Danio rerio: one gene and its partner. The protein of the gene in region 1 purifies or fractionates together with the protein of each later gene. This does not show direct contact. Links are inferred from orthologs where the notes say so. Each region holds a gene or a part of one and is shown on either strand. Other genes may lie near its edges.

Evidence for each region.
Region 2: the proteins of abi2a (region 1) and wasf2 purify together in Homo sapiens (affinity purification with mass spectrometry; 3 studies listed by BioGRID and IntAct, counting the BioPlex papers as one, with this or other methods). This does not show direct contact. The link is inferred for Danio rerio from reciprocal best matches to the Homo sapiens genes ABI2 and WASF2.

Annotation. Positions count from the first base shown.
Region 1 is NC_133184.1:13,879,056-13,883,270, forward strand, and holds the start of abi2a (abl interactor 2a), read left to right. Parts: upstream 1-1,344; coding exon 1,345-1,461; intron 1,462-4,215. UniProt on the Homo sapiens protein: Regulator of actin cytoskeleton dynamics underlying cell motility and adhesion. Functions as a component of the WAVE complex, which activates actin nucleating machinery Arp2/3 to drive lamellipodia formation.
Region 2 is NC_133194.1:46,360,013-46,363,670, forward strand, and holds part of wasf2 (actin-binding protein WASF2), read left to right. Parts: intron 1-1,516; exon of another isoform or gene 1,517-1,519; 5' UTR 1,520-1,543; coding exon 1,544-1,676; intron 1,677-1,751; coding exon 1,752-1,886; intron 1,887-3,658. UniProt on the Homo sapiens protein: Downstream effector molecule involved in the transmission of signals from tyrosine kinase receptors and small GTPases to the actin cytoskeleton. Promotes formation of actin filaments. Part of the WAVE complex that regulates lamellipodia formation.

The DNA of each region.
Region 1 (4,215 bases):
TATCAAATAGGTTTTGCAGTTTGTAATAATTGTTTTGAGAAATGTATCAACCGTTTTGCAAATGTAAATAATGTGAGAAATACACCAAAGCCACTGACAACATTAAATGGAATTGAGAGAGAGAGAGAGAGAGAGAGAGAGAGAGAGAGAGAGAGAGAGAGAGAGAGAGAGAGAGAGAGGTGTAAACCATGACCATAATGATGATAATACATTTCAGACAGACAGACAGACTGGATGGATGGATGGATGGATGGATGGATGGATGGACGGACGGACGGACGGACGGACGGACGGACGGACGGACGGACAGACAGACAGACAGACAGACAGACAGACAGACAGACAGACAGACAGACAGACAGACAGATAGATAGATAGATAGATAGATAGATAGATAGATAGATAGATAGATAGATAGATAGATAGATAGATAGATAGATGATGTTCTTTTGTAATTTTTGAACATCTATATAAAATACAAATAAATGAAAATGTTGATCTGCAAAAACATTCATCAAATTGTTTGGATGTTTGTTTTCTAACAGATCATGTGACATTGTAAATAATGATCAAATCAAACAAATAAATTACATTTTAAAACAAAGTTTTCACTATTGACACCTTTATATTGATATAATATTTATCTTTTCACTCTCTTTTGAACAAACAAATGCAACTTGATGAGCTAAAGACCTTAAAAATCAGCACTATTAATCAGAATGAAATGAGTTTATTGAGCATGCTTCATAGTTCCACAACAAATTGATCACATCAACTTAATTGTTTTCTCAAATTTAAGTAGGTTCAACATAAAATAATTAGGTTGTCCCAAAAACAACTTAAGAATTGTGTTGTTTCAACTTATTTTAAATAAGTAGTTTAAACAAGCAACAAAAGTAATTTGAGTGATCAGCCATTTTTGATTGCATGATGTATAATAATCCTAATATTATATTATATTATATTAATTATATTATATTATATTATATTATATTATATTATATTATATTATATTATATTATATTATATTAATTATATTATATTAATTATATTATATTATATTATATTATATTATATTATATTATATTATATTATATTAATTATATTATATTATATAATATTATATTATATTTTATCATATTATATTATATTACATTACATTACATTACATTATATTATATTATATTATATTATATTATATTATATTATATTATATTTCAACTTTTCGCCATAGTAGGATTGGTAGACGCGCTTCCCTGCTTTCCCCAAACTCAACGGGGAGGTGAAGCGGCGGTACTTCCTGTCGCTAGTTGCGCGTGGAGGGAGAGAGAGGGAGATGTAAAGATGGCGGAGCTGCAGATGCTGCTGGAGGAGGAAATTCCAGCGGGTCGCAGAGCGTTGTTGGACAGTTTCACCAACCTTGACAGAGTCGCCGAGTACTGCGAAAGTAACTACGTACAGGTGAGCGGCGAAGGAGTACGCATTGTATGTGTTTGTGGAGTTGGGGAGGCTGGAAGTGTGTGTATGTGTGTGCGGTGGTTGTTGATCATCTGTTGAGGCTCAGCGCTAAGTACGTACAAACAACCGCGGCTTGTCCGTGTTCAGATTAACTATAAAAGTTTATGACACTCGTAGGTGAGGCTTTAAACTAAGCGGTGGCTACTTTTGGAGGGCTTGAACTTCTGTGTGCAGTGATTTGAGCGTGTAGGTAGGTAGTATTCAAGTTACATGATCATTGGGGAAACTTTGCTCTGTCAATAATGAATGCGAGTGAAGCAGCTGACAGCACTGTTCAAAACAACGCGGATAAAATTCAAATCATTTAGTCTTGTAAACGTAGACCTATATTGTGAAAATAGACGACACTTAGCTGATTGTAACCACTTTGAAGTGAAATCTTGACATGCTGTTTGAAGCATATTGTAAGTCTAAACATTACCTTTAGATTATTTTTTGTTTTTATTTTTGTCTAAAATTTCAGTCAGTTTGTAATCTGTAAATAATTCGTATTTTATATGCTTTTTGGTACATTGCAATCATAACTGTTTTGGTGCAATCAATACTGGGGTGATAGTGTTTTTGACATGATGGTTAGTAGCATATCATGTTTTTGGATTAGTATAAATTTCAAAGCAATTTCTTTAAGTGCTGGATAATTGAGCAATTCCATGCAAATATCAACCTTCCCATAAAAAATAGGTTTTTACCAAAATAGACATACAGTTTCTACATTTTTTTTTGTGTAAGTATTTTACAGTACTTTAAAAATACTCAGAAATGTCTCTGTCAATGTTTTCAAACTATTATATTTGATTTACCAAAGTCACACAAGTAGCAATTTTACATCTGTCACATCCATAACGGAGAGGCATCTTATCCATAATAAAGCTTTTCTCTCAAAAATGTCAAATAAAATGAAATCAATAATTTTTGTTTCATACTGAGCCAACTCTTATCTCTTTGATTAACATTACTTCTTTTGGGTTGTACAGTTAGTAGTAGTATGTTATACTGTAAACTCTGCTGACTTTTTTTGCATGTTAACATTTAATGCATGTTTATTTTCTTCTTTTAAAATTTAAAATGTATTTACAGATTGATATTTTTCTGTTCCCATAACGCTGTGGTTAGTTGTTTTGGAAAATATAAACAGATGTTTCGATATTATGTTAACATATACTTTCTATGTGAATTTATGGTTTGAGTTTTTACTACAATTGTCACATCCATGATTCTGGAATTGCTCAATTATGTTTTTTTTATGGGTGACTGAAGAGCCATGCAAATCTTTTTGTCTGTTTTAGATTTTTTTTAAAAATTCAATGGTAAAATCTTAATTTAATCTATATCTCCTGTACACTTTTTCTAAACATAAAAATGCAGATAGAAGCTGTGATGACATTAAACCCAAGCATACAAACTTAATGCAAATGAATTAAGCAAATTGTTAATTATAGAAAGTAAACTTTATTTTGTAGCCTCCATTTTTTCCTGTAATATTCACAATATTCTTTGCACATCTGCTCATACATTATATACTTTACATAATTGTAAAGCAATTTCTATGCCTTCATCTTTTGACTTATATCCAAAAGCAGTTTTTGTGATTCTCAGCACTGATGTATGCAAACTCTCACTTAGGAGTTTGTTAGGAGCAATATTTTTTTTAATAGCAAGGGCCAGTTTTTAAATATTTACATTATGGGATTTTAGAACAGAGTTGTGAAGGAACAAGAGTAATGAGAATGTCATTGAAGCAGACCTTCTGTCACATTTTCCATCCTGTGCTCTTGTAAATTGTGTATTTGGACATGGAATTCTCTGTTCAGTGTGATCAATGAATGTCTATATGGGTAACTAAACTATGCCACCATCTGGAGCTCACTACATATAGGCAGCACAGCATACAAATAATGCTCTTCACATGAAGACTACTTGCGTTTTATTATCCTATATTTAAGCTAATGATGTTTTATGATTTAAAAAAAGCACATAATAGGGATGGGATGATAACCGTTTTCAAGGTTTACTGTGGTTTGAAAAAGTCAGTTTTTTTTCTAAACCGCAAATCTTTTCTGTTATATCGTTCCTGCAATATATATACAGATTTTTTACTTGTTAAAGACTTGTAACTTCATCCAAGCATGCTTTGGACCCGAACAGTGTTTTTCACTGCCTTATTTATATCCAATGAAAAGAAAGATATTCAAAGATGCATTTTCAAGTAAAGAAATCTGTGCTTTTGAAACGAATGAAGAATCAATGATTTATTTTAATTATTTTGACATATTTACTGTTCCAAAATATTGAAATATATTGTGTTCAATGGGGAAAAAGTTGTTGTTGTTACCTAGATATTTAAAAATAATCAGTATACTATAATGCCAATATTGCTATATTATATTAATATTACTAAGTCAGAATATCTACTATTTTTAATCCAAGGTTAGCACAAAATCAGTTTTATCACATCATTTTTTGCTGGGTTCCAGGACATGTTGGACTTTCAGGCAATGAGCGAGCTGATGCAGCTGCTAAAGATGCTTTGAAGCAAGTAGTGATCAAATGCCAAATTCCTCCATCAGAGATGAAACCTTTTATCAACGCTTGCATTTTAAACAAGTGGCAAAAGGAATGGGATGCATTAGAAAACAATAAATTACATGAAATCCAACCTGAAATTTCACACAGAATTTAAAGACATTTTAACAATCG
Region 2 (3,658 bases), on another chromosome or scaffold:
TAAAATCACTTTCTTGAGTTTAATCTGAGGCAGACAGACACCGTCTTTGACTCATTTGGTGTAGTTTTATTTTCCAATTGAGCTAAGGCAAGAAGTGCAGTTGCATGCATGAATTTAGACTAGAGGTTGTTGTATTTTGGTCAAAGAAACAGCTGCAGCAGTTTTGGTTCTGCTTTAACCCTTGTGTGCTGTTGGGGATGTTTTCATCAACCACTCTGGGGTGATTTTGAGTCTTAATTTGACTACTAGTTTCTCCGTGTTTCAGCAAATGGAATGATTTTTGGAGACAGATCTTATTTTGACATACTTTGGGAAGATGCTGGGACATTTTTCAAAAACTCATCAATACCAGAGTTTCCGCGGGTCTTAAAGTCTTAAAATGTCTTGAATTTTAAAAGCTAAATTTAAGGCCTTAAAATGTCTTAAATTCAATTAAATATTGTATTGTTGTCTTAAATCTACTGCTTTAAAAGTAAAGCCACCCAATCAGGCTAACATCAAATCACCAATTATCCATCTCAAAACCTTTTTTTATATTAAACTTTTTTATGCAAAAAATATACAATTTACAACATCTGTTAGACTTTTTACATCAAATTCTCCTGATTAAATTCCCTATTTAGGGGAAAAACTAAAGCACCACATCCATTTACATGGTCTTCTATCAATACATAAACTTTTTAGAGGTAATATAAAAGTAACCTGGCCATTAGAAAAAAGTCTTAGTGTTTTGCCCTGTAAAAGTCTAAAATTTCATTCATACTGGTCTTAAAAGGGTCTTTAAATTTGACTTAAAGAAACCTGCAAAAACCTTTAATACTCTCTAGGCAAATTGACTACCTTTTCATTATGATGGGGGCTGTTTTTGCCCCATTGACTTCCACTATAATCACATTTTTTAATTGCAAAGCCATGACACCAAATAGTCATGCATTCTTGATTGTTACTGGTATTTCCCTGTTGGGAAGAGGTCAAATTTGACATTTTTACTGTTTGTATTATGTATAGCATGTCTGCGCGAGTGTATGAGAGACCTTTGCACACTTATCTTGATATGGCTGAGAAAATCAAAATAAGCAGCTGAGCTCTCAGAACATAGTAAACATAGCAAGAGTATTCATGCACACTATAATCTGCTGTTTTACTCCATATAAAAGCTAGAAACTTTTTTGCAAAGGCCAGTCTAAAGGGTTAATGCTGCCAACTGATGATCGACTGTACAAATGACACATTTTACCTCTTCCCAACTGGGAAAACCCTTAACAATCAAGAATGCATGATTATATGCTGTCATGGCTTTGCAGTCAAAAAAAATGTCTTCATTATGGAAGTCATACAGGCAAAAACAGCCACCAACATAACGAAACTGTAGTCGATTTGAGCAATACACAAGAGTTAAAGACTCGTAAGACCCATAAGTGTTGTAAACATGCTTCAAAATAATTAAAGAGTGTGTTTTAGATGATCTAGCGACATTATTTGTAATGCATCTTGTGTGATTTCTGTTTTTCTCGAGGAGGTAGGAGACAAATAATCTCCCATCATGCCTTTGGTGACGCGAAACATCGAACCGCGGCACCTCTGTCGCCAAACGCTGCCAAACACGATCAAGAGTGAACTGGAGTGTGTGACCAACATCACACTTGCAAACATCATTCGCCAGCTTGGATCGCTCAGTGAGTGTTTGTCTAATGGAGTAAATGCTGAGGGAAAATCATTTGTGCTGTTTTTAACCTGTCATTCAATCACAGGCAAGTATGCGGAGGATGTGTTCGGCGAGCTGTTTGTTCAAGCCAGCAAGTTTGCTGATCGGGTCACTACTCTGGGAGAGAGAGTGGACAAGCTGCAGGTCAAAGTCACCCAGCTTGACCCTAAAGAGGAAGAAGGTAAGAAACGCATTGGTTTGTGCTCGAGATTTCGTTATCTTGCGTTGCTTGAATCCATTATGATTTTCTAGGGGTTATTGTGGGTTGTTTTTGCATTTAATAGTTTTGTTTATTATTTTAGTCATTGTATCTTTTTATTTACTTTTCATCCTGGTTTTTCTTTGTCTATTTTTATACATTTTTAGTTTGTTTGTTTTTTTGTCTATTTTTGGTACACCAAACTATTTGGTTTTATATTCTTTTATTTTTTTATTAAACAACTTAATTTTAGTTTTAATAGTTTTTCTAATTTACAGTCGTGCCTCGCTATAACGCAGTTCACCTTTTGCGGCCTCGCAGATTTTTTTAAGTGCAATTTTGACATGCTTTTTTTTTTACAGCACATTGTGTTCTGCGTCCTGATTGTCTGTAGACCATTGTCAATCAATCTTCCGTGCTATGTCTCCTATGCAGTACAGAATACGTTCAGCTTGCCAAATTGACATAAATCTTTGATCGCTAGCAGTGTGACTCTGAAGTGCTGTACTGTCTGTTTGCAAGTTTTCTCCCCTCAATGTCGACGAAACGTTCTACATCTTCAAAGTCACATGGGGTAGCACCCAAAAGGCAGAGGAAGGCCTTAACGTTTATAATAATTGTAAAAAATAAAGCTGACTACTTCTACTGTGGGCTATTTTTAGAATGCAACACCTGCGATTAATGAGGGGGACCACTCTATTGTTTGTTTTTTTTCTAATCCAAGCCATTAATTTAATTATTTTTCTATTATTCTTTCATTTACATCTCACTTTTTTGTGCATCCCAGTCTCTTTTTTTTCATGATTTGTTTGTATTATTATTTTTGTCATATTATTTGAAGTTTGTGTGTCTCATTGTTTGTAACCTATATAATTTTCTTATTCAAATCCTTTTGTTGTTTTTTTCTTATCCAACTTAATTTTAGCTTTTATTGTTTTTTCCTAATTTATTTACTGTTTGTTTGTTTGTTTGTTTGTTTGTTTTTTCTAATCCAAACCATTAGTTTATATTATATATTTCTATTATTCTTTAATACTCATCTTATTTTTTGTGTCTCCCAGTCTTTTGTGAATTTTTGTTTTGTTTTTTGTATTATTATTTTAGTCATATTATTATTTGTTGTAAATTTTTTCATTTTTCTGTTTGTCATTATTTTTAACATATATATTTTTCTTATTAAAATCCTTTGTAGTTTTTTTTATTATCCTACCTAATTTCTTTGTTTTTATTTTTTTCTTAATATTTATTTATAGTTTTTTTCACTAATTTAAGTCATTAATTATTTATCTTTTTAAATGTATTATTATTTAAATTATTCTTTAATTTTAACTACATTTTAATTTTTTATTATTATTTTAGTCAAATTATTATTTTTTTCTGTTGTCATTTTGTTTATTCTTCTATGTTTATATTGTCTTAATATCTTGATATATTGGTTTTATTTTTACATCTCCAACCCATTGTTTAGTTGATTGTCTAAAAATAAACAATACATTACATTTTTTCACTAACCCAATCCAAATCAAGTCCATTTGTATGTTCAAATAATTTCTGCAAAGCATTTTAGTATGAACTCTCATAACAAGAGCTTATTTCGTCACTATGATGTCAGTCTCATCTAAAGAGGTCACTAATGTCCAAACCTGTTACTCAATTAGACCATTTTGCTCATATGTGACATTCACCGCATTAATATACTCAATAAATATTACATTTATGCCTCTGACACACATTGTGTGATGCATTTCTGTATA